Styela clava: one gene and its partner. The protein of the gene in region 2 interacts with the protein of the main gene of each other region in a pairwise test. Links are inferred from orthologs where the notes say so. Each region holds a gene or a part of one and is shown on either strand. Other genes may lie near its edges. The genes, in order: peroxisomal biogenesis factor 3-like and peroxisomal membrane protein PEX16-like.

The links.
Region 1: the proteins of peroxisomal membrane protein PEX16-like (region 2) and peroxisomal biogenesis factor 3-like interact in binary tests that used the Homo sapiens proteins (3 or more experiments, as listed by UniProt). The link is inferred for Styela clava from reciprocal best matches to the Homo sapiens genes PEX16 and PEX3.

Annotation. Positions count from the first base shown.
Region 1 is NC_135263.1:8,800,051-8,816,176, reverse strand, and holds peroxisomal biogenesis factor 3-like, read right to left. Parts: upstream 7,319-16,126; 5' UTR 7,221-7,318; coding exon 6,102-7,220; 3' UTR 5,954-6,101; downstream 1-5,953. Other genes in the region: guanine nucleotide-binding protein subunit gamma-like, read left to right, coding at 328-447, 1,589-1,675; succinyl-CoA:glutarate CoA-transferase-like, read right to left, coding at 4,527-5,744. UniProt on the Homo sapiens protein: Involved in peroxisome biosynthesis and integrity. Assembles membrane vesicles before the matrix proteins are translocated. As a docking factor for PEX19, is necessary for the import of peroxisomal membrane proteins in the peroxisomes.
Region 2 is NC_135252.1:3,111,997-3,129,400, reverse strand, and holds the start of peroxisomal membrane protein PEX16-like, read right to left. Parts: upstream 6,422-17,404; 5' UTR 6,283-6,421; intron 5,630-6,282; 5' UTR 5,629-5,629; coding exon 5,497-5,628; intron 3,968-5,496; coding exon 3,883-3,967; intron 3,223-3,882; exon of another isoform or gene 2,714-3,222; coding exon of another isoform or gene 2,466-2,713; intron 70-2,465; coding exon of another isoform or gene 1-69. Other genes in the region: L-fucono-1,5-lactonase-like, read left to right, coding at 1-69, 2,466-2,713; CTD small phosphatase-like protein 2, read right to left, coding at 9,736-11,085. UniProt on the Homo sapiens protein: Required for peroxisome membrane biogenesis. May play a role in early stages of peroxisome assembly. Can recruit other peroxisomal proteins, such as PEX3 and PMP34, to de novo peroxisomes derived from the endoplasmic reticulum (ER).

The DNA of each region.
Region 1 (16,126 bases), on a different chromosome or scaffold from region 2:
ATATTCAATGTATGTACATCCTATCTAGGGGCACAAGTCTCATTTAACCCAGTCAATATTGTTATTTTTTTAATATTTTTAGAGAGTGAAAAGAACTGAAGTTCCGTGACTGAGTAGAATTTAGTTGAATAAACCTCCCCGTTTATAGGCTGCACAGTGTCTCGCCAAGTAATATAACTTGATTGTTACCCTTACTTCGCAGACTACCCCGTGTAGTTCATTATATAAGTCAAGGCGCTGAACAACTAAATATATAACGATAACAGTTGCGCGAATTCAGCTATATTCATAATATTTTTTGAGGAAATAACTACATTAAATACAAGAATGGACTCGTCTGTTAGTGTTTGCAGGATGAAAGACATTGTGCGTCAACTCAACATCGAGAAAGACATCAAGCGTGAACCTGTTTCCACTGTGTCAAGTGACTTAATGGAATATTGTCAAGTACGTTCAATGTATTAGTGCTATTTTACAAATAAACAATGAGTCAGACGTGTACGTCATTTGTCCCAAAAGAATTCATATATATTTAAAATCGTCGGAATCGAACCGTGTTATTGACAATCTAAGAAAAATATTTTATCCAATTCGTATAATTTTTTAATAGACATTATTTTTCATTTAACATCTGAAAATTTCCTCAATTTAGCAGTAACAATAACGCTCATGTTACGGTGTCATTCGTTTTGTTGTAAAAGGGAGAGTTGTACAAATAATTCGTCTTAAAAATTCTTCTTGTTTATTATGTTATTACCCCTGACAATGGAACAATATCATGGTCGTCAAAAAACAATAACATGATTCGATATAAATGTTTGATTCAATATCATAGTTGAATTATGCCAGTCAGATACAGTCATTTTTCAGTTTCAGTTCCAGGATGTTTCATACCACTGAATCCAGACGTAAGATCCCAGTCTCATTCTAAAAAAATGAACTTTCTTTACGATTTTCCAATTCACATTGCAATCATCGAATACCTTCGCGATCCCGCCGCAAAAACTAAATAGATTGACTATTTTCTCAAGGGACGTTCACTCGTGTACATTTTTGGACACTTAAATCGATATTTCCAATGCCTTTCCTAATTATAATTTTTTAGTTCTGCCGACTAAGTGTAATTCTCATTGTTATTGTCCACATATTGAACCTATTCCAGTGTAATGGATTAATTCTGTTAATTGTCCACCATAAATATTTTCTAGTATATATCTGAAACCATCTGCAATGTTTAAATGTCTTCGGGAAATTTAAACAACAATAGCAACAGTCTTTTTAAAATTGTTCCTTATTACAAAATAAGTAATCGTATTGCACGTTAGTGCGTGCCTGGTTCAAATGCGGGTATGTTCATAATACGGCAGAAAGGGGAGACACATCAGATTAGTAGTTTCATCGAAATTATTAGTGTGAAGTGTCATTACCGAAGTGTAAGTGCCATGAAATGTGTTTATTTAAGCGTAATTTCGCAAACCACACTTGGCGCGTGTCCCTTTCTTGCTCACAGTTCAAACAAACAGCCTCGTAAAAAAGGCAAAAATAATTCATATATATATGATAATTTGTGAAAAATATTTATTTTCAGAAACACTTTCACGAAGATTTTCTGGTTTCCCAGCAATCACCAAATCCTTTCAAGAAGGGGAAAAAAGACTCCTGTACAGTCATGTGATATTTTTTCTTACTGAACCACCTATCAACAAGTTATTGGAAAAGACGCTTGCACGTACATTTTAATTCATCATTCAAGCTAAAGATTTTATAAGTTTATAAACTCAAAATATATCATGCATCGTACGAACCTACCTGAATTTGTAATGACATTGGCTGATTCAATATGTGAATTGATGTCGTCATATACCTGACGAACCCATATTTGAAATTTTGAACATGTAGTACGCATTCATGAAATTTTCCTGACTTTTTGAAGCTATATGAGTGCACCAGAATGCAACGAGTTATTTATTTATCATCCATGATTCACTATGGGACATTAGCACATATTATGTTGATCTTCACACATTTTTTGGCGTGGAAGAGTTCCCAAACCAAATATAAACTGCAAGTATTCACAATCCCTGCAGTTTGCCCCAACATATGTCTATTAGAGTTAGGCCTTTGCATCAGAGTGTCACTGTTTCCGTATCGAGTGCTGTAGAAAAGTGTGTTTTAAAATATGTAAGAAAACTTTTGTATTTACGTCGTCACTCCGTCAACATTATTCTGGTTTCAAATATTATATCTGTGAAGATGAAAAAGCAGACGTCGACCAGAGTGGAAATTGGTGTGACACCAGACTAGACTTTACTCATAGCGTTGATTCCACCATAGTTCTGGATAATTTTACATGAATGTATTTTTGTAGCACTTGAAAGTATTGCGCGATTCGGCGAGTGGCAAAAATTGTGACGCAGCAGCTCATAATACTCCCTTTGTGTTCAAACAGCCCTCTTACGAGGAGGCCCATGTACTGCATTGGTTTTCATATTGCCCATGTGGAATAATGTTATTATGAAGAATCGTCTGTAGTAATACGGAGTTTTAAATTTTGAATATGTATTTGTACCCGACTATATCTTGTTAACAGGTTACAAATTTTGCAAATGTATTTGTACGTGGTACCCTGAAAATAATTACCGGTACCGTAACATTTTCTTATATATATATATAACTGTTCCCCAGAATACTTTTTCCATTGCACTTGTATTTTCATCTCAGCTTTCGTGCTATGAGACCATGTTTAAACTGTAAATTTTTGTTGGCTTAAATATTACTCACTTATTGCAGAACTCTATATCGTGGCCTGATTATATATATCAGTATAACAGCTATTTAAACACTTGGCAAATGTAAAGACGCATACAGGGTTGCCAGACCCCAGCGATCAAAAAAAGCCAAATCAAGACATAAAAAAAGCCAGAAAAAGCCAACAATTTTACTAAGTACAAAAGCCCCATGATTTGTCAGATTTTAAGCCCTTGGCAATGTACTGATGATGATATAGAGCCATTAGTTCATTCAGTGAGGCACACGAATGGAAAGTAAAGTTCCTATACAACTGCAGAAAGTAAAACAAATATCAAGCGAACAGCACTATTTTACCATTCAATATATACAATACAGAGTGCCGCTTCAGTCTGTCAGTATGTAATATACCTACATGTTTCTACTTAAACTTGTGATATACCTTAAAAAATTCTCTCTATATCGTACTCTACTATTGAAAATTTTTTCACTTTCAAAAGTTATAAACCATCAATTTTATTAAAAAATTATCTAACCCCCTGCCGCTCACTGATATCTTATTCAGTAATTTTAGCGTAGTTAATCACATCGTTACTGCAATTGCAGAATTAAACTGAAGCTCACATAAACCATATCAGGCATAATGAAAATTAAGTTATACAACTATTTTTTGGAAACAGAACGTAAAACTGACAAATAACACGCAAAACTGTAAAAACGAGGCAATGTTTACAATCCTGCTTGAACATCTGTTTGAGCAGCTGCAGAAACTGCAATTATTTCTTATTGGGTATGGTTAAGAGTCAATGTAACAAACAAGGGAATCGATGCTCCAGGAAATCCTAATGTTAAGTAGCTAAGTACAGGTAATAGACTATTGTTCAGTTGTTACACACTAAATATTTTATTTCATAGACACTAGAATAGACTTGAAAAAAGCCAAAAAAAACGCCAAAAAGCCAAACGGAAATTCTGACGCCAAACGCGTTTGAAAAAAGCCAAAAATGGCAAATTTGGCGTTAAAAAAGCCAATATGGCAACCCTGGACGCATATTTGGTCGAATTATTGACGTTCAACCCGTCCTTGAAGCGTGAAAGTATGACGTAGTAGGTCAAGTAGGTACGTTGGCAGTTGGCACCGAATTTATTTTATCCTGGATCGACCTCGCCGAACCAAAAATGATCGACAAATATAATTTAAAAATATATATTAGTTCCAATGCTCAATTTTTTTTTCATTGGAGGTAGCAAGAGAAATTAATTGCATCAATTAAAACAAATCAATTGCATATTAAGCATTAAATAAATTACTAAAATTTGCACATGCGCTTGCTAGTCCTTCTAAAAAGGAAAAGCGTGATTATGAAGCTGAAAGTCACAATGACAAGTTTCCTTTGAAAAACAAGCATTTTTTCATATCATCGCACAGTGAATTATTAGAAAAAATTATAAAATTGCAATATTTGAAGAAAAAAAGTTAACGAGTATATTTGGCCCGGATAACAATGGCATAGGAAGACAAAAGCAGGGCTATGAAGTGGTAGTTTAAAACTCCTGGAGCCCGAGTCGTAAATTCCATTTTTAACAGCGATAATAAGTTTAAAGCATTAGAATTTACTGATATCTCCATAGACAAATGGGATCAAAATTTGATTTTCTTGGAGTTTGGAGCTGAAGTTGGAAGTCAAAATTTTTTTCATCATAAAATAATTTAAAGTAGCTTTTTTGGAGTGAATGCACGATATTTTTTACCTATAGCGATTTTCTAGGAAGGTTTTTTAGGTCACAACACCATTTCTTGTTAATTTGTCAATCTCAAATTCAGACATGTCCAGGAGATCACGTAATACTTCTTTTGTGTGCTGTCCTAGTGTAGGTGGAGGCAGAATTTTTGGATATTCATAGTTGCTAAACTTGACTGCTGGAGCAGTGACTTTGCATCCTTTTCCTGCAGTTGGGTGGTCAAATTCTAACACTCTGTTTGTGTGTAACACATGAGGATCTGAAAACACCTGTTCCATATTGTTGACTGGTCCATAGGGAAAAGTACTGTCTTCAAATATAAACAACCAATCTTCACAGTCTTTATCTAAAAATGATTTCTTCAAAATAGGAAGCAAGGATTCTCGATTCCTAACCCTTTTTGCATTATCAGCAAACCTTGGATCAGTCGAAACATGCTCAAGCTTCATTTTATCACATAGATCATTGAACTGTTTATTAGTTGTTGCACCAACAGTGACATATTTACCATCTTTTGTTTTAAAAGATTGATAGGGTACAATAGATGCATGAGCCGTTCCCCATCTTTTTGCTTCAATTCCAGCATTCAGATAGCTTGATGAGATATTGACTAAAGTAGCAATTTGAGATGACAATAAATCACAATCAATTTTTTGTCCCAAACCAGTCTCCCTTCTTTTCATTAAAGCAGCAAGAATAGCCCCTTGGCCATATAAACCAGTACACAGATCAGTCATTGCCACCCCAGATTTACAAGGCTCACCATCCTCTGGTCCAGTAATATAATTCAGGCCACCATAAGATGCAGCTATAACATCATAACCAGGACGATGGGCGTATGGTCCTTCTGGACCGAAACCACTGATTGAACAATACACTAAACCTGGATTAATTTTCTTCAACTTATCATACCCAAGACCGATTTTGTCCATTTTCCCAGGCACATAATTCTCCACAAATACATCACTATCTTTTACAAGGTCTGTGATTATTTTGACACCTTCTTTACGTTTCAAGTCTACAACAACAGAGCGCTTATTTCTATTGACTGAAAGAAAGTAAGCGCTCTCATTTCCACAGAACGGTGGCCCCCATGATCTTGTATCATCGCCATCTATGGGTTTTTCAATTTTGATGACATCGGCTCCCATGTCTCCGAGGACCATAGTCATGAAAGGTCCAGCTAAGACTCTGGACAAATCTATGACCCTGATTCCTGACAGGAGTGAACTTGTCTTTTCAAGTATTGTCATGATTAGCTATTTTTATTGCACAAACTGTCATCTGTTGAAATAGAAACAAATTAAATTTTTTTTTGAAAATCAAAACATTCTATAATTTATATTCATAAAATAATTTTCTTGTATTAAATTGTCTAGTTAAATGATTTTTCATAATTCTATCAATGAGAAAGTAATTACATAGCATAAAAAAGCAGAACACCCTATAAAAAACATATGATATTCTTATATTCAAATTCTCTGTTTAAACTTAAAAACAGATAATGAGCATCCTGACCTTTAATAAGAGAGTCATGGAAAAAAATACAAAAAAAAAATTTTGTTTATATGTTGTAGTTAGTCATCAGTGTTATGATATTGGTCACATATTCAACAACTGATAGTATCTGTAAAAGACTGATATATATTGGCAGAAAACTTCGTGAGCATGGGATTCGTCAACACTTTACGAATAAAATTTTCATGTGAAATTGCATGTACATGAGAATTTAGCATTGGCAATACTTTGGCCAATGGAAGAAAGTCTGAGTTAGTACGAATGATTGGAGTGATATCACTCACCAACGCTTTGCTGTGAGTACCCAAGGAATCAATGATAGAACCATCAATTATTTTGCAAAATTCTTGGAAGGATTTGAAAATGCAACTTTCAAAGACTTGCATGCAGTCATTAGAGTCAAATATATCCCACATTTCATTGATTAATTGTCTTTGTAAATCAAGATCAACAGAGGCCCCAAAATTTACATTTGCTTCATTAGGTAACAAAAGATCAAGTATATTATTTGAATCATTTTCAGAGCTTTTGACGTGGAATGAAAAACTACCATGTTGCCTAATTTGATTATGAATGCTTTTTAAGACTGATTCAATATCTGCACCTCGAACTCTACATTGAAGAGGCATAGATTCTGTCAAATCTTGTGAAATTTTTGTAAATTCATTAATAATACATTCAAGTCCATTACCCAACACAAATTCATGAGAAATTGATAAGAACCATCGTTGGATAACATCATTGATAGGTGGTGACTGGTCTGTAAGAGTACTGGCGTAAACTTTTGCAGCAAGATGATTAAGCTGTAAGCGAATTATAACAATTGAAAGAGTCAAGATGTAAATGGAAATTGACACTTTTGCAAATACAACCACTTTAAGTTCATTCCAGAGTTCAAGTTTTCTCTCTGCAGAAACTTCAGTCTTCAATGAATCTAGAATTGCTTCAGTATCAATTTGTTGCAGTATATTATCTTTTAGCGTGTTCGCTACAGCCTGGGCAATGGCAAAACAATGTTCTTGAGTTTTTTCAAAATGCTGTTGTTTTCTTAGTTCCTCCAAATATCTCTTTTCTTCTTGCACCATCCAATCTTTAATTTTATATTGTGCATATTTCACAGTTCCTACAACTCCTCCAACGAGTACTCCAGCAAATATGAATTTACGGCGATGTCTGCGAAGGAAGCCGCAAATCCGTCCAGGCATATCCATATTTCCCTTATATTGTTTTATTGCAGGATAGATTTATACGAAATAAATAAAATACCGGTACTGAAATAGGAAGACAAGGTAATTCAAAACTGGTATGCAAGAGTGGATCTGTATCGTATCTACGTCTGTCTGTACGGTACCGTACCAATATTGGCGTATTGACTAAGAATTCTAAACAACACGCTACCACTTTATGACCAATGTGGCCTGCGAATGTCATGAATGAAGGTCTGTGATACCTTCCAACTATCGATACCTCAACCCAGGGGTCACCAAATTTTTTTTGTCCGAGGGTCAGGTATCGGACTATCGGTATGACCGTAAATATATACTACTACGGTATGACTCAAACCAATGACATTAAACAACATGATGCGCAACTCCGGCATTTTTGTCCGAAGATCGTATTCGATAGCACGCTCCAATGCACATACTTGACGAGACGAAAACGAGCGGATGTGTGCTGCTTTCAAGGCGTAGCACGAATGGTGTTCGTGCCTGCTTTGACAGTTGTTGTCGATTTTAATGATATTTTTGAAAGTTGGGGTAAAAAGAAATCGGTAAAAGGTAAGGTGAATACTATTGTTGTATATCACACCCGGGCATCGCACTGTTAAGTACATGTGGGAAAGCTAGCCTTTGTCAAATACTACGAAGTTATTAATTCAGTACGGTACGTAGTTGCCCATTTGCCGAAATTACATATTTACTTACTCCTTATGGTTTCAAATAGTTCATGCACCTCCAGTTAGATTTTTTTAATCAGTGAGGATATATACTCATTGTTGATTGCTGCTCATTGTAACATACTATTACGCATTCACTTTTATTTGCGTATTTAATCAAAGTGTTAACAAGTTCACCTAACATTTCACTCATACCGGTCTATATTGTATAGTCTGATTTCTCAAGTATTTGGAGCCACGAATGCTTGTAATTTTCTGACTAAACCCTTTTATTAGTTGGTTTATTTTCCAAAATTCAGTAAAATATTTTTTAAATAAAACATGAAATATTGGATTTATTAGCTTTTCCATTCTGAATCATATAGACTGCTTTATTTATTCTTAACGAAAATTAATAAATCTCCTCTCTTTCTTCAGATGTGAAAGTTGTGGACAAACCTGTCTAAGCATTGTGAGACTCTTGCAGCACAAGAGGCAATAGCAGAAATAGTAAGTATATCAATCAAGAAATTAAGCCGACATAAAGCAAAACTTTCAACTATTCGTCTAATCTCAATTTCCTATTATTTATTCACAGGACAACTATAGCAGACGTGGAGATATCAGAAGTCTGGCGACATATCAGTGACAGTGTGATTCCAAGAAATATAATGCAATTGAAAATAGAAAATTGCAATAGAAAAACAACCTATGGAGGCATGCAAAGACATTTGACCATCCGGTAGAGTTGTGTATGGCCCCCACATCCTGCAGGGCTTGAGGAAAATAACTAAAAATTCCAAAGCGTAAGATTGCATAAGCGGTCTTATTTGTAAAAAGGCACAAAACACGCCAGACATACTTAAAACAGCTTTGGAAATAAGGATTACGGGTACCTCACTGCACCTGTGTTATATTTGGTTCATCAACTTTTGGTAGTACTATAGAAGAAATTCCGAAAGGGGTATAATCATCATTCATGATAAAATACTATAATATATTTTTTGAACAACTTCAATCTAGACCAGGGATCTCAAACTCGCGGCCCCAGAGAACTTCCAGTGCGGCCCTCGAACGCTTAACAATAATTGTAATAGTATTTTGGAAGTTTTTTTTTTTATCTAAATGTAATAGATTTTTCAAACCTTCTAAAGTGAAATTGATTATTCACACAGAAAACAATTTACTGAAAGTAGTTTTGGAATATTAATTTTTTTTTGTCCACATTTTGACCCAATTAAGAATACACATCAAGCTAGCAAAAGAATACTTGAATAAAACACTTGAGTAATTAAATTAAACGCAAAGTACACGAAGAAGGTGGCATTTTCGAAGAAAATGGGAGTTGTAACATTTCTGCTCTTCACAAAATTCTGAAGCACATTGTTTAATTTGTCATATTTCCATCAATACAATCAAAAAACACAATAAGCTCAGCAGTCAATATGACAAATTCGAAGACCAACTTCGAACAGAAAATTTCCATGTGTTTGTATATTAATATAATTATACAACGACTTAGTTACTAAAAATCAATATCCATAATAATTCAAGCAATCCTATGCCACGCAATGTAGTGCGAAATGTCTTGTCGAAAAAATCTGTCATTTGTTTTTTTACTGATCTATACATGAAATGATAAAAGTAACTTTTTTGCATTACTGGAATTAATTAAACATTCGTAAAGATCCAGATAAACCCATGATCATGTGGCCTCGTTAGTTAGAGTTGGTACTATAAAATCATTTCAGACTGGCCTTAGTATGCTGGTGACACAAAAAAGATGCCAAACGCCAGGACGAATGTAATTATTAAAACATCGAGTTTATACTGTGGTATTTTTGTTAATTTTAGGTTCACATATTTAGATTAAGTTATTTTTAGTGTATGTATTATTCTTTCCTTATTCAAAGCTTGTTCAAAAATGATTTTGATGGTTGTACATAGAATTTTACGATTTTTTATAATAAATACTGTAACTTGCAAATGTTGCAATAATAGTCGAATGCAAATATTAATATGTAATTGCATTTGAAATTGAAGAAAATAATAAAACTTAATCCAACTGTTTAGTTGCATCACAATATATGTCACAAACTAAAACTATCTTAAAAATATCTTTTAAGTATACATTATCAAAAACTGTTTGCGGCTCTTTTTACAATTTTCAAAATGCAATGCGGCTCTCGAAAACCCATGAGTTTGACACCACTGATCTATTCCAGACGATTCAAGCATTGCTTTGGGAAATTATATCACTTCAATTAAATTGAAATAATCTCGCTATATTAAATACAAAATCGTTGCTATCATAGAGGTAAACCAATTCAGCCACTCGAAATATATTGGCCTTCACACAGCAATGGAGGCAAAATTGAGAGTTCATGAGCTATGAACATTTGTTCTTTTCTTTGTCTTGAACTTTCCATACTCCACAGCCCCTATTAATTTTTTTTAATTTTAATTACCATGTGATGGTCATACATATCTTTAACTTGTATTTTCTGTCATGATGTATTATCTCAATGTGCCAAACTATTAATTTGCGTGCATATTTTGCTTCCAGATGACATAAATGTATTGTCATGTTTATTACCTCAGCTTGGAGTATTGACAAGAAAAAGGTTTCAACTCATTGTTATAATCAGAATTCACAATCAATAGGAATTATAAACAGCCAACAATCAGTGAGAATTATATGCGAAATCCCTCAGAATAAATTTGTCTAAAATCGGAGGAAGGCAAAAAATATAGGTAGTTTCCATTCACACAAGCATTTCAAGAAGACTTGCTCGAGCCAAACTAAATGAGCATCGTCAGGTGATCGGTAAGGCTGCAAGTTGATTTCAGCCCTGCAACCTCCTGCATAGAAGATAATATTAATTAGTGGGCTATGAGCTAAATTCCTAAATTTAAACAAACCTATCTACGATGCATTATGTACCAGCAATGTTACCTACGATTAACTGAATATGTAATATGTCTAATAAATTCACCTACAAAAGCAAGTTCGATAGGTGCAAACTTTGTGTTATGGAATTGTATCGCAGCACAGTTTTGTATGACACCCTCTTTAAATGAAATTTCAATGATTAAGCGCAAACATTAAAATTACTAACTTTGAACTTTGTCATTATCTGCAAAATGTTCCACACAAATCTTTCCGCTATCGCGTTTGTAATCTTTTCTGATAAAAAAAAAAGTCTATGATGTCCAGAATTGCTCTTTACAGCTTGCCTGTTATTCCAGCTTTCCAAGTAAGCAAAACTTCTTAGATATAGAGATTATTTTGTTTCGTTACAGGCGCAAAAAGGCAGGTACTACACGTAAAAAAGACGCCGAGTAGCAAAAGCGAGCGGAAAACGGACGCGAAAGGCGACGAGAAATATGTGCATTGGAGCGTATCATGAAATACAATGTTTTGCCTGTAGTCTTATGGAGTGACGTCAGAGTTGCCTATCATGTTGTTTAATGTCATTGCTCAAACCATATTTACGCTCAAACTGTGTTGAAACGAGCCGGACAAATACGGTATTTTTGTCAATGCAATACAATAAATTCACAAAAGTGGGGAAATGGTATTCAACAATATAAATTCTACATTTCTGAAGTATTGGATATTTAATTCTATATCGCAGAATATGGACCAAGAACATCATAACAAAACAAATAGGCTGTACCAGTGGTTCCCAACCTTCTACCCTGGCGGACCGGTAAAATTAAATGAAATGTACTCGTCGCGGACCGGCAAAAATTTAAATGAGTAGGCCTAGAACAGAAAATAATTACATATATTTGCGTAAAGTCGTGCAATCACTATGATTTTAGAAAAAAAAGGTACACTTAAAAACATTTCACATGAGGAAAACCTATCATATAATGTGTCGGTCAAAAATCGAAATGGGTGGAATATAAATAATAACATATGTATTGCGTAATAAAATGCAGTGCTGGGCACCCATTATGCGTAAACAAGGCACACATCTCACATAAAGAACATTTAAATGCCAAATCATGTAGGCCAGGGGTTCTCAAACTTTTGGTGTTGCGGAGCCCTTGAAAAGTTGAATATTATTCGCGGAGCCCCAAAATAAATGTTAAAATTGTTACTTTCAGATTAATATTCCTGGGCAAGTTAAAAGTACTTTACTTATTTAAAATGCTGAACCTTTTTTAATAGGATTAACACAAGCCATAAATGAATCTGAATTTCATACTAAAGCTGTAAATTTGACACTTGACGAACATATTAATAAATTAGGGGTCGAATCTTTTCTCTTTTGACATTTTTGGAAGACTTAACAGGCCGCTAATAACGTGCGCGATTTTATTTTGTTACAATCGCCGATTTTTTTCGTCAGCATGGCGTGTTTTGAACATCTTTACGCCGGTGTTTATTCTCCTTAAATCAAAAATTTCCCTCGGCATATACATGTATTGTTACACAATGACGACGTTAATTCCTTTTTTGTTCTCGTGGGAAATTATGAGTTCAATGTGAAAAACATGTTACCATATAATAGTCATCTGCGACGAAATGTTAAAAATTATAATTAATAAAGAGATAAATCCGCAACTCAAATTTCTTGATTAAAAAACGGCATTCTAAAATATTAAAACTGAAACTTTAAATGGAAGATCACACGTTTGGCTTCAGCAGACTCACCTCAGATTGAAAACGCTTTTATAGACATTGTAAATCACAAAATTTGGTGTTATGTTAGGTTTTCGTCGTAGTGACTGCGAAATCGAAACACAGTCCACGATGTACCTTTTTTCATTCTGAAACTACCGACGGAGCCGAATGCAATAAAATAAATTCTAATTGTTCGTATTTTGCCCAGACATTGTGATTTTTTAAACGGCGATATCCTGCTTAAAAATAATCTCAGGTGCGAAAGAACAAATCAAGTTTGACAAATCCCAAGATCGCGAAAATACGACTCCACTTTATTTATTGTTGGCAGTTTATTACATATTTTATGTTATTTTAGAATAGTATTCTTTCATTTAAGTAATACTAATACTAATCTCGAATCAAACTTGAGTAACGATGATCACAATTACATTATAACGAAGAGACACGTTGAATGCTCGCATCGGTCATGGATTGTATATTTAAGCAACAGAAATCTCGTTATCCGTTTTTTTAATGGCGAAGAATGTTGCGCGGAAATTTCCGATTCCAATTTTGAACCACCTCCCTCTTAAGAATCCTGGCTGCGCTCCTGCTCATAAATAATGTCATTTTTAATTCAGCCTCTTTACCATATTTCGAGGCTGTATTGTTGTCAGATTTTATCAACGCTGTTATTGCTTCTTTCAACAGTTACAAAATTTTGAGTCAGTATTTCGAAGAGTAATCGAATAGCTCGCGGAGCCCCTGGGTTTCTCTCGCGGAGCCCTGGGGCTCCGTACGGAGCACTTTGAGAACCTATGATGTAGGCTACAAACACAATTAACTCCAGTGAGAATTTTGCTACTGTTTCATTTCCAATACAGGATTGCAAGCGAGGCATCAAAAAAAAAGGTTTTGCAACACATAGCTCTGCAGCGGCCCACAGTCAATTTATTTGCTTCTTTTTTAAAGGTAAAAGCAACTGGTTGAAAATGCGGACAACAGTTTGATTGCTCGATTACTCAGCGATGGGTATTCGATATCAAGAGAGCTCAAAAATTAATTGTGATAATGATTCTTTTATAAATCTGGACTGTAAAGTAGAGGTTTCACCATATCAATCCCTCTGCAGTTGATCGTTCACCCAAACAAAATTAATTTATATTACAATGATAAAGTCGTTGCTAACTTGACACCATCAGGCTCAAAATCCTGCTGTGCATCACCCAAAAAATATCTTAGCGGCCCCCGCTTTTGTTGCGCGTCTCGTGACCACCTGCAGGCAGAGCCGTTATATAATGGCTCTGCTGCAGGGTCGCAACAAGTTCATATCTCGCTGGGTGTCATATAGTGAAGCCCTGGTATATTATAATGTTCTTGAAAGTTTTTATGGTTTAAACAAAGAAATATTTTTATTTGGATGGTAATATTAATCAAGAAAAGCATGCAGAACGGAAAAAGCACGCATGCTGATTTTCAGGTTTCTGAATCTTGCGAGAAAAGGCGCGGCGGAGTGGCTCAACGGGCTAAGCGTTAGGAATACGCTCGCCACCGCACCTCTAATTACTCTGCGTGGGTTCGCAGGTTCGAATCCCATGCAGGGATGGTTATGTGCGAGAGGATTGCTGGACTCCTCGCCGTCGTTGGGTGGTTCACGTAACCGCTGGTCGGTTACGGCTTCCTCCACCACCAAGTCCATGCTTCTGAAAACAAAACGATACAGTAAAACCAATCCCATACCCGACTTGGAATGGTAACCGGACGAGAGGCCGTGGTTCGCCAAATGGATAAGCCGTCTTATCGGCTTTCCTCTCCCCCGGGATAAATATGTAAATCCTATCCTGTCCTAAAAAGCGAAAAGTGTGATTACTCGGCGCCAAGACGTCGCCCGGCCATACCGCACCTATCAAACAGCAATATGACGACGAAGAGAAATTGCGTGATAAACCAACCGCGGACCGGCGGTTGGCAACCACTGGGCTATACCGTACCAGACAACTATCCTGAGGTTAGCTGTTAGCAAATCAATTGCGGTCATGAATATATCCGCATGAAAGCAGTAGGGCCTACAAAAGTTAATTAATGTGACTTGTGAAATTGGGGCAATACTGAGCGATTACAGTAGCCTACTATTAGCGCAAAATGCACGTTCGACGTTCATTTTAGCAAAAGAAACGTACACAGCAACAATTTCGCCGAAAGCACGCGTCACGAGTGCATCCTGCGCAGAAAACGTTGTGTGATCGTTGCGTTGCCTATTTTATCACAGCTATTTCCAGACTAATTTTTGATTACTGGTTACTGCAATTAAACTACAACTCCTAAGAAGGCCAAATGATGATTGACTTATTTGATTCATACCTAAATTTCCGAAACACAACCAAAACCTAACAAATAAGCTAGCATTTTAAATTGCGAAAACGAAGTATTGTTTACAACCACGGCTGAAAATCTAACTCTGAGTGACAAAAATGTCTGAGCGGATGCAAAAATGCCTATTGTTACGTCACTTTTAACATCTCGCTGATTGGCCAATGTTACAAAATTAACGAGGAAGTCGATGCTCGGCGAATCATCCCCTGCCGTAGAAAAATTTTCGCCATTTTTCGTGTTATCGCGGACCAGATGAAAGGACGCCAAGGGCCGGATCTGGCCCGCGGGGCGTAGTTTGGTGACCCCTGTGCCGAACCCGACCATTCGCCACCAACGGGTGCCTTCGTCATGCACGTTCATACATCTGTTTTAAATACACCCATTCTTGGCCGTGGTTGGTTGGTCTCTAATTTTTGGCTATTGAAAATGAACTGAAGCTCTTTAAAAAAAAAAATGACAGTTAAGCTATTTGATTTCCATCAAATTTTTCTAAACACAGCTGAAAACTGAATCATAACACGCAAAAATGAATTAATGTTTACAACCATGCTTGATATCTGCTTCAATGAAAGAAGTGTCTGAGCGACTGTACAAATTGTAATTGTTACGCCATTGTCAACTTAGTGCTGATTGGTCATTGTTGCGGAAATAAATAAGGAGATGTGAAATTGATCCCTGAAATTATAATAAAATAACAAAATTTGAGGTGAAATATAGGATCTCATAGGAAATTGAAAAATAGAAGTAAGAGCCTTCTAGCCATTTCTATTAGTTATGAAGAAAAATGATTCTTTCGCAATAAAAGAGTCGTCCCAACAACATGAACAACGTCGTCGGTAAACAATCACTTTTCATGAACACAATAACACATAAATACAACTGAACTTGAAAAAAAAGAGATTAAGACAATTTTCCACTTTCCACATAGACTGACAACTTACCATCTCTAGTTGAAGTAATTGCTTCAAAATTAATAATATTTTTTATCATACAGGGTGACCCAAAAACGGTACCCATAAATTTGTCACCCCGTATATAAAAATGGACAAAATTAAGGCCTTTAATTACTATAAGTTTACATTTGTAAATCAAATGTCTCGCGCATAATAAATCGCAGTTTTTACCTTGGTTTTGCCCCACCCCCAATCTTCCTTCCATATATAAAAGTATTCCTTTACAATATATCTAACCAACAAGTGAACATCACATTATAACACAACACATTTATATAGACACAATAGCACTAATAC
Region 2 (17,404 bases):
CTTCAAAGGCTTGGTATGAGGGAATGTCGGCCCTTGCAGAACATAATAATGTTCATTGCAAATTGTCAGGTAAAGTTGAACCAGTCTAATAAGTTGGATTTTGTTTAAAATATTTTATGCCATATTCACAAATATTCAGAATCTAGAAACACAAGTCTGCAACACGCTTCATATTTTTCCCTCAGACTTCACAACAATTTGAGTGAAAGCAAACTTAGTTTATTTAAAAGACTTGAAATTGAATTTAAAAAATAAGGGATATCGACAAACTAATGATTACAAGAAGGATATAAACATACTTATTCAACATTATCAAAGTAAAATTGACATTGCATATATCTTGATTATTATTCTTAATTAATAAAGGCTTGGGTCAGGCCTGCACAACATATGGCCCGCGCGCCACATGCGGCCCGCTAGATACTTCTGTGCGGCCCGCGAGTTATTTGGTAACACGCCACTTTTCGGGTCTAACAATCGAAGCCGGCATTGTTATGCAAGCTTCTGTGCGGCCCGTGAGTTATTTGGAAACACGCCACTTTTCGGGTCTAACAATCAAAGCCAGCATTGTTATGCAAGCGCGCCGCTACCCCGAGCATATTCGAAATCGTGACATTTATGTTTTGCACCAGTTTCAATAAATATCGAACTTTGTGTGAAACTGGTGTGCCTTTCACGACCCCTAAAACTCGTCTCTTGACATCTCGCCCCCCAGTTTGGGAAACCCTGATTTAGATATCTCAGTATTCAGACTGAATCACGCTTAAAACAATATCGGTATACAATCTCACACCCATTAGTGCATATTAGCAACCTATTAATAACCCCATTATTTTTTACTAGCAGTTTAAGAAACTGAAGTTTCTTTTTTGATTCAAATTTAGAACTTAAAAAACAATTCCTTCATTTACGAATGGTGCAGAAATTCTCGCACAAAAGATATTGCTATTTACTGTAAAATTTCAAATAAATTGGAGCAGATTTTGCAGAAAAATGTAATTTAACAGTCAAAAAAGTACAACAGAGGAATCTATTGCTACTTAATGGATTGTTTGTCTAGCCTACAGTGGAAATATCTAATAATGGTAGATACAACTGAATAAATTGTCATACAGATATTTGGGACAATTTTACAAAAAGTAAAATATTTTAAAGTAAAATATTTTTTTGCAGTCAGTTTATACTGCAACACACAATAGGCTACCTAATTCTAATAAAAAAGAAATATTGAAAATGATCGGTGGGTTTTCAAGGTAGATGAACCACTAAATACATATGTGCCATCACATGTGCAAAAATACTGTACCTTGTTTTTACTCAAGTAAATAAGATTCTTCATATTTTTAAGCTCCCCAGTAATGAAAGTGTTTCATTAAATTTAACTGTTTCACCATATTATTTTGATTTGTAGTTCATCTTGTGAAATATGTATGTGGCAAAGTTTGCGGCCGGCCGGGCCTTCAGATTTATGCTTGCAGCCTTTGTGGTTATTTGAGTTGTGCAGGCCTGGCTTAGGTGATTTAAAAATGTGAACCCCATTGTCCCCTATTTTCTTGAATGTGTTTACTAGTAAGTTGTACTTGTAATTATTAATATATGCATGACATTATATTTAACGAATACATAGGAAAATATAGAGAATCCTAAGAAGCAGCAAGTTGCAAAAGTTACGAAAAAATAATAACAGTTATTTCCTAAGTATTTTAAAAAGATTGATTTCTGTCAAAACATGCTTCTTGTTGGATTTAATGAAAATCCTACACCTTCCATGTATATTTTATGTGCATTTTTACTTTTACCCAAAATAATTCTGGATGTAAAAGAAAATTAGTCTTTTGAGTATCAGATCTAACTAGTAATCCTGATATACACAGAATCACTCAAGCAAAACTTTCAAATTTGTGAGTCATCTTCTAATTTGAAAATATTGCCCAAGGCAAAAGATATATTATTAAGCCGAAATAAGTTGGTTTATACTAATGTAATATGATGATGTAACTTTGAACAGCTAAGGTCAAGGTCATCTGTGATAATATAAACTGAAGGTTTTCTTTTAGAAAAATTATTAGTATTTTCATAAATATGTTTCTCGGATTCACAGCTAGAAATGTGGAATAAGAAAATGGACTAACTAGTTAGGGTACCATGACAATGCAATAAACATTTAAAGGGATATTTGCTAACATAATTACATTCCTTGAACAAAGCTAATGGCTAACCATATGGCGTTCCAGATTTATGCGTCAATCTTGAGGTAACTAATTTTGTTGGCCTACTTTACATTAAGTTGTGTAAAGGGACGGAATGTCTATGGGTAGGGGGTATATTCACTTGGCTAACACAAACAGTCCCCGAACTCAGAATATCGGAATAAAATTATGGCCAAACGAACCCTACCTGGTATCCATACTACGATATTACCAAACATATTCATGAAAATAAAAATAAAATTTCATTATTTACAGGTATGGTGACTGAAGGCGACTTGCAAAATTGGAAGCCTGAAGATTTCAAAAACCATGTTCAACATGTCATGGACAAATTTGGAGCAGACAGAGTTATGTTTGGTTCAGATTGGCCAGTGTGTAAGATGGCAAATGCAGACCTAGATACAGTGTACAATTTGTTAGATCAACTACTATCTGACTTTACAGAACAAAAGAAGAAAATATTTCGTACCAATGCAATTGAATTATACAACTTGAAACTCTAAATTTTCTAAGATTACTTATCATAATCAATTGTACTACTACTACAACAAAAATAAGATGACTGAATTTTTCTGGATAATGTTGAATCAAAATAATGTATGTATGAATCGTATGCAATGTTCCCTCTAATTTTTTGTAGTATGTGTGCGCAGAAATTTTGGTGTGTGCGCACTTTTTTGGAAATGACTAATATTTGTGCAAAAACCAATGAAGAAATTTTGGCGTTCTAACCGGGTAATGATGGGCTAACAACAAACTTTCTCAATCTGCCAACCGAGCACAATGTTACATTACATTGAAATACGTCTGTGTGCAGTAAATCTATGCGTGTGCGCTTCCTCTGAAAGCTGTGTGCGCGCGCACACCTTAGAGGGAACACTGATCGTTTGGTAATTCTTGAGAGAATTTTCCTTGATTGCTATTGAAAATTTGCTTATCATACTTTTTAACAATCATGTTGAATCGTTAAATTCCAAATATGTTGCAATAAATATCAAATTACAGAAATATATACATATATTATATAATTATCCAGGGCGCTCCAGTAGTGGGTGTACCAAACATGGAGGTAACTAATTTTGTTTGCCTATTTTACATCAAGTTGTGTAAAGGGACTGTAACCTATGGGTAGGGGGTATATTCACTTGGCTAACACAGACAGTCCCCGAACTCGTAATAGAACGAAAAATAAGGAAAATCGGAATAAAATTATGGCCTAAGCCTAACCTGGCACACATACTACAGGACCAGGAGTGCCTTATCTAGTATGTAAAAGTGAAGACAAATTTATAACATAATGATAGGTAATCGTAGGATTGCATTATTTATAACTATGTTCATAAAAAATAATCCAAGCACGGATGTAGTCTTTTATATGTAGGCTATTAATAGTATCAGAAAATAGGGACAGGCAAGAAGAGGCAAGAGAAAAGGGGTGATAAAAAATATGGATAGACTTGACCCACTCGAATACTGCAATTTGAAATGCATTTGAAATGTGTGTCATTTATAAGTATCGCTTCACAAATATCCATGATTTCCAAAATGAAACGATCCACGGCCTCAAAACAGTAATTGTTCAAAATCTAACTACTCACTAAGCTACCACTCAAAATAGTTGATACAAAACATCAATCATCCTTATAAGGGTTAAGTAATAAAAAATACTTACATAATTCAGTTATGAATATGGAGTTATCATAATCTCTTGGAATAAATTCAAGTGCATACGAAAGAGACCTTGCAGTCTTTTCAATCTAAAAATAACATGAAAGGTCAGTATACACTCAAACACAGAATTTATAGATAGCAGTAATTGGAATCAATACTTGAAAAATCCAATGATCATTAAAACAAGTAAATAGCCAATGCCAGTGCTGTCAGTCCACAAAAGTTCTTCAATGAAGCTGTCAGTAAGGGAAACAGAATGAGTAACTACGGCCCGCTGGGCATATGCAACCCACTGAAGAATTTTGTGCGGTCTTCTGTTCTTGAAGAAAGTTGTGAAAATTTTTTACTACATACAAAATTCAGATTTATTTTTAAACTTTATTTAAAATATCTAAATTATGTCTCGTTAAAATAAAATTAGGTAATGTTTTTTTCACATCTTCGGTTCAACAATGTCAGCCACCATGACAGTATTATAAAGAATTGGAATAGTAACTGTGACATCACAGTTGATTTCTTGGAATGGCCCTAGTCAAAAATTTGGCCCACCACTGGACTACCGTAAACCATTAACTCAGCCTATGTTGGAAGTTATGGTCATGTAAAATCGCCAGCATAAGACAAACCAAAATCTTTTCAGGATGGATATCATGATTATCTTCATGGAAGAAAGTGGACAAGTCGGCTTATTGGACATACACTTTCTGAACTGAGCTGAAATATTTGATTCAATTTCATGCTTTGAATAAACAAAGTGAGACTGAACCGAAACCGAACATGCTTGTATTAAAGTTGGTGAATGTCAAAAATTCAAACAAGTTGATTTGAATTTACAAACACAAAAAGCAGAACTTGGAAAAGCCAATGACTAATAAATGAGTCATGTGTAGTTTGAAGCAACAACAATGTACAATGTGAAATTATAAATCAAGACTTAACAGCTTTCATTAAAACAAATTGGAGAAAAACTGTTATTCACAGAATGAATTCATAATAAAGTCTTATTATTTACGGTAAATTGAAAGCTTGCTGTAACAATTCTAACCCCTGGTGATAGTAATTTTGTGAATTAAAAAGGTTCAACATCAAGAAAATGATTACAATATTTTTTGAAAGTCCCACTAAGGGTGAAATAATTAATAGTTCAGTATTAAATTTTCAAAAGTCATTGACTACTGATAATTTAAGCACTCAGGCATTATTTATTTATTATTTATATATAAAGCATTGCTTTATATTCTCAATATTAAAGGAATGAGTTTGCATATTCATATATGCCCTGGAGCAAAAAAACATACCGGTAGATATTACATTTTAACGAAATTAACAGAATTCTAAAATCTTGCGGCAAGATTGAAATTTTAATATCGATTTTGATAATATAGCATATCACAGTGTTCAAGAACCCTGTGATAATTCATTTCCAATCTGAAATGACTTTAACATACCAATATCTATTCGCATATTATTTAAATTCAATACATCTTATTCTTACTCCAGTGAGCATGACATGGAATTAAATATTTTTTTTTTATCATCAGTATCTGGAATTCCCAAAATAGATACGCTACTGGTATCTCCAGTTTAATGGAAAATTTTTGGTATATATACATACTTGAGTTATCATTTCTGGATTTTCAGTGACATACTTGACATAATTTTCTTTGGCCTCCTGGAAGGGACGATTGACAAACCCCAAACCTTTTCGTATCAATTCTACAACAGAAGATTCAGCGGGAGCCGTCATACTGGAATAAAATATCAAATTAAGAATAAAGACATACAAATCCAAGAACACAATAGCAAGAGGGAAATGAGGAGTAGTTAGGTATACACTACTCTAAAATTCCAGTCAACATAAGCTACAAATAAGAAAATTTAAGCAAACAAAAGTTACATTATGATGTAAAATACAAGTTGTGTGATTCTTATGAGACTGATCAATTTTCAATGAGTACATTTAACTCCCATGTCAGTCTCCAGCCAGAAATTCATTTTTCAACTAAAAATGAATGTTACCCTAAAATTAAGACTGGGTCTTATTTCAATTTTCTTTCGAAAGATAACACTAGGGCTTATTTTGAGGTTTTTTTTTTATTTTCATTTATCAAAAACCAAATAACAAAGTAGACAATTACGAGATTTTCATAAATACAAACCGATATCCATCCACTTATAAATAACACGTTTTTATTTCGAATAACTGCTGGACATAGATTATTAATCATTTGAAACGTGTAGAAGAGATTTCTTGCCATCGACTAGGTCAAAAAAATTTTGCGCTGTCAACTAGGTCTCATTTTATGGGAGAGCTTATAATAAAATCATTTTTAAAAAGCAGGATAGGCCTTATTTTTGGGAAAACACGATATATGACTATTTATAACTAACTCATTCATACCTTTTGAGTGAAGAGTATTCAAAACTGTTTCATGTCATAAATTGTCAAAATGTCATATGTTATTAAGAGCACTGGTCGTGGTACCCTGCTCTTTGTAATTCAAATTACAACTAGATACTAGAAACATAGATAGAAATCTACAGAAAGAATTACAATGGTATTAATTTTCAGCAATATATGTACAAAAAGCTTTTTATAAACCAGTACAACATAACATTAATACCAACAAATTTACAACCAAATGCTAGTAGTATTGTTATGAACATCAATTAAATGCATGAAATTGTAACCCTGAACACTGGTGCACAATAATTTTGCAACATAGATGAACAGAACAGAATAAAATTAGGAATTACGAATTGATGAGCATTCTAAAACAAATGACAGATTATGACATGTTTTAAAACTAACAGAAATGATCGTTTTGGACCTTTTAAAGCCTAAATAGAAATCACATTTCAAAAAATCAAAAGAAAATGTCAAACTGCTTGAAATTAAACTATTTAACAATCGAGTGGTAACGAAACACAGAAATTTGATATAAAAAGAATAGCTTAAATAGCTAAGTTTTTTAAATTATCTTTTACACTTCAGTGAAAGATACAAACACATATTGTCATGATATAAGTCAATAATTAACATTGAGACCCCTGGTTTGAAACATCAACCTGGCATAATATACAGAGTCTAAAAACAAAATTGACATACACGGGTGGTAGTATCTAGCCAAATCAAAAAATTAAGTTTTATCAACAAATTCATAATTAATGTGTATCAAAACACTCCAATTCACTTCAGAAAATCAGATGAGCAAATTACTGATTCTTCTGTAAACTCTCTTTCGTTTTTGCAACGAAATTCAAGCCAAACAATTTGGGGTTCGCTAGAGTTTTGATCGTGTGAGAATTTATCAACCTTCTCAAGACAATGATGTCAACAACTTCAGTTTTTTATCCGATTTATGCCCTTCTCGTCTTATACTCTGTCAGAAATGTTAGTAAAATGATTTTCCTATTTTACAATCATTATAGTATGTTTTATGGCAGAGATAAGAGAGACAGAGATATATACATGAAATATTCATAAAGAATATGTGATGTTGCTCTTTTAATATTCTCAATTGCTAACTGATACATAAACAAACAAAATTAGGAATACAAAATCTGACATATCTTGATTTTGTAGCAGATATACAGTAGAACCTCCACTCACGGTAAACCATGAATATGAAATTTTAAAGTTTTGTAACGTCTTTTCGTAGAAATACTGCTCCGAATAACGAAAGATGCTTCTATATACGAAAGGCCGAAAATCTTAAAAACGTCCTGCTTGCCATAAAGTTTGAAAGTGGCACACCTGAGCTGCTGTGCCACTGGCTGATGTTTAGCAACTTCCTGCCATTCCATTAGCCCGTTTGTTTCCTGTGAGTACGTAAAATGCATCTCACTCAGTTTCAGTTGTTAGCGAAAAAATCGTGTTTTAGTGTTTATTTTTATAACGTGTAATTGTTACATGTTTTAACTAGTATTTATAATTTATACAAATATTATGTCCGAGTTTTGGGGCGGCTTAGAACGGATGAGGGCATTTATATGTTAAAATGCATTCCTACTTAGGAAATTTTCTGTTTACGAAATGGCTTCCAGAACGAATTAATTTCATAAGTAGAGTTTCCACTGTATTTCCAATAAATTCAAATGAACAAATAATAAATCATCTGTAGAAGCAAGTCCACAACACAACAAAACAGAAGACAGGGTTTAGTTCAAGTATCAAATGATCCTACAAACATCATTAAATGTCCAATGCATTACCGAACCAACGTCATTGCTCTGTAATGCAAATTTTTCTATTGGCAGAAACAATTTCTGCATTATACATGATGGAATATAAAAATAAGAAACAAAAAATTAGTTTTGTAGTATAATTGTTAATTACAGGTTTGAATAATGCATTTATTATTGACACCTTACTTAATATAACACAAGGCAGCATTTTATACAGCATTTCTTGTAAAAACTTATGAAAAAAAATATGCAAAATATACTGAATTATGAGAACACTCAAAACATGGTTGTAGTTGATTAGTGATAGTCCAATCATGTTAAGGAGCAGAATAAGTGGTTATGATAAACAAGTCAGATCAAGTATGGCAGTAAACCCAATTAACCAACTACCAAAAGCGGACTAAATTGAATCAAACAGCCAATTTGTGCGGATATTTTGTTGCATTCAGTAGACGATTGGAATCGGATGCCAATAATTTTACAAAAATGGCAAAAAATAATTCATACGAAAACATTGGGTAAGCAATACTATCCTTAACAACATGATGTACAAAACTTAAATTCCAGCCACACAGAATACTGAAAACCATTTTTTTTGTCTATTTTTTAAAGCTATGATTAAAAATAGACAGGTATAGAAAGTACTAGTTCAAAAGAGGAAAATTCAAACATGCAATCCAAATACCAATTTATTTATGATTGGAAAAATACTTCCCTTTATGCACTTCTGCACACTATTTATTTACCATATCAATCATTTATTGGTAATGTCGCATGTCTGTTATTTCTAGTATCTGCTGGTAAAATTATGACATACTAAATACAGAAAATGATAAACATGCAACAGTTTGATATGTATGATGAAATTTTATACCCAGCGGTGGCAGAATACTGTCCTTTCATGCATGTTGAAAAAATTTTTCAGCTTGCTATCATATAGAATGCCACTTTATAGTCAAATCAAGAATGTGATAAATAGGATAATTTTATGTTCGAATTACCAATTTGGTTTTATGTACACATTAGTTTGGTAAGATCTGACAATGTGAGAAAATTGGGATAAGAACTGGCATCAGTGCAGCTGTTTGTAAAATATACATACATAGTCTCAACAAAACTCTCCGGAGCATAATTTGGCAGCAATAATATAAAGAAAAAGTTCAAATTAAAGCAACGAGTGAGAATTACTAAAGAACGTGCGGTGGACGATTATAATATGGTAAATAATATTAAAAATATATTGCTAACGTTTCTCTGCTAAAAGGGAAAGATTGGCAATAGTGTAAGAACACGCCATCATATTATAGTTTCATTAAACATAAAAATATGAATAAAAAACTAATTTGTAGAATTTCTTTCACTAATAAAAATCAACGTAAAAGAATCTTTAAAAGAATATAAAAAAAATCTCGCTTATTCACCATAATGTCGCTCCAGCGAAAGTCCATAATAATATATATCACAGCCTTATCAGTTCACACAAAACCGTGTGTTTGGTACATAAAATATTTCCAATATAAAACTGAATGCTTTTATATTATATAAAAAATGTCAATGTTTATTTTAAATCTCAGGCCATCTTGGTACTAGAATTAGTGAGCAATTTGTACACTCTCAAAAAAACTGTCTGTAGCATATCAACAGACAAAACACATACATGCTCATGTTAAGGAGGCAACAGTTCATGAAGCCGAAATTTCTGCTTCACTTTTGGCCGCACATCTCCACCAGTTGTAGCTAATGATTCAAGGAATGGTGCTAATTTAAGCAGTTCACAATCAGCCTTGTCCGAAAACCAGCTTAATATAGGAATGCCATTTGATAACTGGTAAGCAAATGCTTGTGGTGAGTTGTCAACGATAACAGTTTTGCTGAGATCTCGACCTAAGATATTCAGATCCTTTATGTAGTTGCCCTGCACACAGACACAATGCTCTCTAAATAATCTGTGTTTCACCAGCTTCTTTTCGCCATCTAGCATATTCAGCAGCTTGTTGGCGTACACTTTTTTCGATGCAGTAAACAATATAATCTCATAAAACTTGGACATTCTTTCGAGAAATTCATTGAAATCCGGCCGAGTACGAACATACACTTGATACATGACGCCTTGAAATAGAACAGAGAAGGTCAAATCAGCATCATGTAGTTCCGTAAGGCTGCAATGCACTAACGTTTCATCCAAATCTAACACTAATGACAGCTCAGGAGAACTCCTTGTTTTGAGTGGCAAAGCAGGTTGCCTGCACTTTTGCTCGTCAGTCAATGGAGGTAAATGCTTGATGAAATAGAACGGATCAAACACTTCCCAATCTGGGTCATAATTTGCTGTAGAAGTTACAGCAGCAGGCTGTAGATAGGATAGATCAACCGTAGAATCTTGTGACTCTTCACTCGAATTATCAACTTGTATGTCAGTTGGTGGAATTGACGTTGGCTCCTCTAATGCAGACAACATACCACTGTCATCATTTTTGGATGTAGAATCGACTTGTTCTTCTTCCACGCTCGGTAACTCATCCGTTGTCGAGGAAACCTCAGGTACTTGTTCCTCTAGTTCTTCGGTTGAACTGGAACTTGTATCCTTGTCACTTTCCTCATCTACAGCCTGACCAAAAAATTTATAAACGGGAGAAAATATTGTCCCCAAAATTGAGGGTTTCCGCTTTGCTTTTTTCCTTCCCCTTGTGGAAGACTTTCTTCTTCTCCGTTTTGATTTAGGAGTAACATTGTCTTGGGTAGATGATCCCAAATCACTTCCACAAACTTCAGTTTGAATTTCTTTAGATTTTGTTTCTTTATTTTTAATTTCTTCATCAATTGCTGATGAAGAAATTGCATCAATTTCAGGTTTTTCTTCCGAAGTACCAGCATGCCTTAATCTTTTTGGCAAAGGAGTTGCATCACCATTTGCTTTTCCATTTTGTAGTTTTCGTTTAGTTCCTTTGGTGGGTTTCGGAGTGGGCTTGGCAGACTTTGTTGCCCCTCTAGTTGAGCGTTTCCGCCTTGTCTGCATCTCAACTTTTCAAGCAGACGTTTGACACAAAATATATGGACTAATTTAAAAATTGTTTTTAATTCATATTTATCTAAACATCATGCAAGATATAACGTTAGCATAGTTGGTATACCTGTATACAGATATTATTACAGAATATAACCCGCTCACTATAACTATATGCAATGTCAGAATGTTTGATAGGTATGGTCAGTACCGGTACAGTACGGCACACTATACAAATCGGGTGACATTGTCCCGTTTCAGAGAAACCCATTTTACAGATGATCAGACACCCCTCCTTTGGGAGACATCTGGACATTGTTGTCCCTCAATATCGGTGATAATACAGTAAAATGAAGTGGCCCAAAATACTACAAAAAAGCGCAATCTAATATCGTCATCGTTGAATTTCTTGGGAAAAAATCAACCGATTTACCAAAGGAAAAAAATTTTTACCGTTGCATTCGAGAGTTTTTAGCAAAAAACAGCAATTTTGGTCATGTGACGGCCGCGATTAATTAAGATTATTATTGAATCAAGCATGGCGCGATATGATGCATCTGACGTGGTCCAGACGCCCCTCGTTTGTGAGACACGTTGAGTGATTGTTTTATTGAACCAAATGGAGGGAAATTCTTGGAATTTGGATAGTGTGCTGTACTGCGGTATGGTATATATCGTGGATAGACAATAAATTATTATCTTATACTGATGTGCAGGAATAATTTATAAACTACAGAACTATACTACTATTGGTTGAAATACAGAAATACAAAGCTTAGTACCATATTCAGATATTGCAGTATTGAATCATAGTCTTATACGCAGATCATAATACAGTAATTGACAAGAGCAGAGGGAGTTACACTGTTACGAAAAACTCAGTCTGTCATGACATGATGATGCCTATGTAATTACACTCCTCACATTTGGAAAAAGTCAAATTGAGGTTATTTGTAAACATGAGTTTGAAAAAAAGCAGACCAATTCAAACTGATTTTTAACTGGATATACTGATATATGAGGGAAAATACCACAATGATTGCTTGATATGTCGGCAAGTTGTGTTGGTGACAAAAGATATAATCTAAAACAGCCTTTTAGAATCTTGCAGCAATGAACATTTTCTAAAGAAAAGCGATTTTGCTCTGAGAATCCCATCGATGTTCGAAAGCACTTTCTCCATTATAAAGAGTTTGAAATCTCAAACTAAATGTAGATATACAGTACCGGTACCCCTAGAACAGTAGGATAAGATACGATTTACATATTTATCCCGGGGAGAGGAAAGTCGATAAGACGGCTTGATTATATTATGGCGAACCCCGGCCTCTCGTCCGGTTACCAATCCAGGTAGGGTATGGGATTAGTATCCAGGTATTTGTTTTGGGAGGAAGCATGGACTTGATGGTGGAGGAAGCCGTAACCGACCAGCGGTTACGTGAACCCCCATACGGCGGCGAGGAGTCCAGAAACCCTCTTGCACATGATAATCCCCGCATGGGATCGAACCTGCAATAGACTACCACGAAGGGTAATCAGAGATGCGGTGGCGAGCGTATTCCTAATGCTTAGCAAGATGCGCCACACCGCCGCCAAGTACCGGTACCGTACGGTACCGGTACGGTAGAAATACTTTTTGCAAGTTTTAGAGAGTTTCTTGGTGGTCTTCGCATGTTTTAGCCTGATAAATGACAAGTAATGATCAATGTGTTTGCACAATAAAAGTGTTTGTTCTGTATTGCACTGTTTACCTATTCTTGGCACTATTGCGACCCGCGAACAATGCAAAAATGATTTTGTGGCCCCCGAGGCAGAACCTTGGACCACCCAGTTCTAGACCAATAGCAAAAAAAATTCTTAGTGCTGTAGTAATCACAGAACCCTGATGTGCTTTATAATCATTTGGTGAACTCGAAAACAGCAGAAATGATAAACTTATTTTTCCAATTTTTCCGTCTCCGATAGATCAAAATAAAATTTTTGGGTATTACCTGATAACCATTCTTGCACTCATACCGTACATTTAAAAGATGTAATATACCGGTACCGGATACGGTAGCATATAGTACAATGGCACCAGTAAGAGTTAACTTATCCGTAAAACAAGGGAAACGCACTAAAAGCGAACCGACGGAAAATGCCTGTATGTACAAAATCGCCACCGGATGTCGCCATTTTGTTGGGCCGAAATGGATCGTTTTGTTATCGGACACGGAACTTCTCTCTCATTTCCGCGGGACAATTTGAAGCCTCTCTCGTTTTGACAATAGACTTCCAACTTTGACAAGGCGCGTAATGCATTTCCTATGGGATTTGACAGAAATCAATTATTTGCGTCGATTTTTCTTGCATATTCTCCTGATCTTGATTAATTTCAAATTATGTACCAAACGCTAAAATATCCCAGCCCACCGTGGTGCTAATTTTGGCTGTTTTATCAATTTGCGTTAAATCGTGGTTTGATAATATTGCCAACGTATCAGTCAAAACGACCACAGCAACGACCACAGAACATTAACCAACATGGCTTATCGGAATCGCTCCCCCATTTACCTGTATTTGGCCATATCATATCGCTTCAAGTATTTTGCGTGGCGGTCTCAATATCATTTCGTGGCCTGACTCCGTAGTACCCGAGCTATACATATAAATAGAACTAAAAGGAGCGCCAGAAGTGTGTGCACCAATATGGAGGTAACTAATTTTGTTCGTCTACTTTACACCAAATTGTGTAAAGGGACTGAAACTTATGGGAAGGGGGGATATTCACTTGGTTAACACAAACAGTCCCCGAACTCGTAATATAACCAAATCAAGGGAAATCGGAAAAAATTATGGCCTAACCCCAACCTGGTACACCCACTACGGGAGTATCAACTAAAGTGCGCTTCGCCCTCAACCGAAGACTTAGGTGAAGTCTTCCCCGTGAAGGTTATTGCGTTTTTATGATATTGAAACTACCTGACTTATAGGACTGTGTTCGTTTAATTTTTTGAACTTTATTGGTATTAAATGTTTTGAATGAGCACCTTTAAATATATTAAAACCTTTATACTTCACAGTAACACCTAAATATTTATGAATGTGAGCTCAGTCTATGGTTGCAGTAGTCTAAACTCGCCTACGACAGTCGCCCGACAGGCCGTCAACTCACTAGTCGAGCAAACGCTCTGCGACGTGACGTCATCGATGCTCGAGGTTAAGACAACTCGACTACCGAGCAACGAGAGGCAGACAACTCACCAGTCGCTCGCTCTGCGATATCGATGCTCGAGGAGAAGACATCGCTTTGCAAAACGCAGACTCAAGAGTTGTATAGCATTTAGGGGAAAGTGGGGAAGGTTGGGACACTTTTTTCTTTTGCATATTTTGAGCCGTTAATTCTGCATATTCACTTAAGTTTGCGGAACTAATGCATAGAGGGGTAAATGTAGTTTTTATTCAGCGACTAAGAAATTTCCCTGCGACATACATCTTACTACCAAAATGCTTCGAAAAACGTCTGTCAAAAGTCCCACTGTACCCCACTTGTGGGGCACATTCGGACAGACCCTGGGGCACAATGGGTCAGTCTGTCGAAATTCAACGAAGTGTGGCCTTAAAAATAAGCAATTATTCAGCATAATCGTCTAAAGAACAGGGAGACTTCAAATTTGAAGATATAATATTTTTAAAATCAATGTTTAACTGAAGGTTCAGATATTTTGACAAAAAATTTTGCAAACAAATTTGATTATTTCCTTCCTCGGATCTAAATCTGGAAATATTATTGATTCTCGAATATATTCCATATTGGGCCATGGGTCGAAAGAAACCCTAATATTACATAAAATATACCGCATCTCTAGGTCTCTAAGCACCCATTGTATCAAACACTGTCGAATTGTGCCCTGTAGGACATGTCCCACTGAACCCCGGTCCATTGTTCCCCATAGGAAACAAATATTTTCAGACTATCCCACGGCGGAATTCGGAAGGCACATCGACTCGCCAACGTTATGAATATTTTATAATGCACTATAGCTGAAAAATATCTGACGCTGTTTTGTCATGTTGGAAAGGCTAAAGTAGAAAAAGAAAAAACTGGGATGATGAAATTTTAGTTTCAACCTCCCAAAACCAATTTCACCCCATAGCTTGCGCCGCGCTGCCTGTCCGTTCGCGGGGACGTTGTAACTCACCGAAGGGCGGATTGAAACATCGAACCGCGGACAGGATTGCGGATATAGTATCAGTGTGAGAGCTGATTTTCCACTGTGCCCCATGTCCCAACGTGCCCCACCTTCCCCTACTTAGTGCCGACTGATATTAGTTGTAAGCCAACTCACCACCTGAGTAGTCTACCAGCCGACGGCTAGGTTCCATCTGCTGGGATACAACAATCGGGTTGAAGTCATGATGGGTGTCATGGGCCTGGCAGCAGTCCAGGCACTTCCACTCAAACGTTACGCCCCTTTTTTTTAATAGCCTGTACTGTTCCTTTGTCATTGCCACATCTGAATTATTGAAACATTTGCGATGAAACCAATTTCGACAGACGTCACAGATGAGTCCCTCCTGCTTCATGGAAACACTGTATAAGTATAAGTTTATTTCGACTCCATAATCAGCATAACAATACATTTGACAGATAAATATTTCTCTGGATGTCTTGAAGCTTTCAATGAATAACCCACTAGATAGCGAAAGATTAAATATATATGTCAGGATATCAATAATATGTTCTGGAACATATTTCAATATTTTGAATGGAATACCATCGATTCCAAAACTTGACTTGGGCTTCATATCGCGTATGATATTTTTTATTTCTAATGATGTAGTTGGCTTCAAGAACATGGATGAGGATTCTTGCTTCCCAAGATATGAAATGTAATTTTTGTCACAGCCAGCTGGTTGTGGCATACAGTCGAGCAAGCTTTGTGCCACTTGGGAAAAGTGTTCATTAAATTTATTTGCAATTTGTGTATTACTGCAATCAAGTCCAATCAAAGGACAAGAATTTGTTTTATTTTTACCAATAAGTTCATTGTTTTCCACACTGCCTTGATGTTGCCTTTGTGAGAAGCAAATTTAGATTTGTAATAATTTGATTTCTTTTTGTAGAGCAATCGAGTATAAAGGTTTCTGCTTTCATTGAACTGTAATTTGTGCTTGTCATTTATGTTTTTATTGTTTATTTATTTATTATAAAGTTTTTGGTACCCTAGGTATTGGGCTGATTCCCGAGCATTCGGAATCAAGAGTAATCTGCCAGTCGACGGCTTCTAGGTTCCATCTGCTGGGATGTACAAATTAATGGAGTCGTGATGGGTGTCCTGGGCCTGGTAGCAGTCAAGGCACTCACACGTAACGTCCTGTTTTTTTAATAGTCTTTACTGTTCCCTTGTCATTGCCACATCTGAATTATTGAAACATTTGCGATGGAACCAATTTTGACAGACGCTGAAAAGCAAAGTCGCTTCCTCCTGCAACAAAAGAAAAATTTGTAACATACAATACAGGGTGATGGAATAGCCTACTGTGTAATTAGTGTTACGTCACGATCCACAGGATCCAAGTATTATTGTTTGGCAATAATATTGTTGCCACGTGTAGGCGCTGTTAAGTCGAGTTCGCCGCCATTAATGGATATTGCACCATACTTTGCTGCTGTTTTGCTGCCAAGTCAAGTTTTTAAAGTTTCTTTGTGTTGGTATTATTGTGATTTAATTATTGCTGTTTATTGTGTTTATCTTGTAGATGACTTAGACATCTAAATTAGTTAGTAACTGGATTTATTGGGTTGTTGCCCTTGGTGTTAAGATATTGTGCCGTACATTTGTTACTGTGAAGAAAGTGTACTGATGTTTCCAGAATGTATTATGCAATGATTTTTGGGTAAGAAAGCTAGTACTTTAAGTTGCATAATTTGAAGTTCACTGATGTATGTGTATTAAATATTGTCATTGTTAACAGATTGTGAAGTATTCTCGTGGATTCACAAAGTTTTCTTACCCGGTGTCATAAATATTATCGGTATGTTATTTATATTTGGATCATTGCTGAATTTGGTATTATTTAGTTTTATAAGTGTTCTAAGACATGTTATTTTGTTTTAGAAAACCGTCTTCCATCTTTCATTTCCATCTATTGTGATGTTTGTGTATTGCTGAGCATTTCATGTTATGCTATCAATTTTTCGAATTACAATTTCATTACAAGTTTTCAACAATTGGTTGTGTTTGGACAAGGATTTGGGAGATGCGTTTTCGATTTGTTAGTTTTCTCTATGTGACACCTTGTGCTACCGGGTCACGTTGAAAGGGAGGTTACATAAAGTTTTCGATAA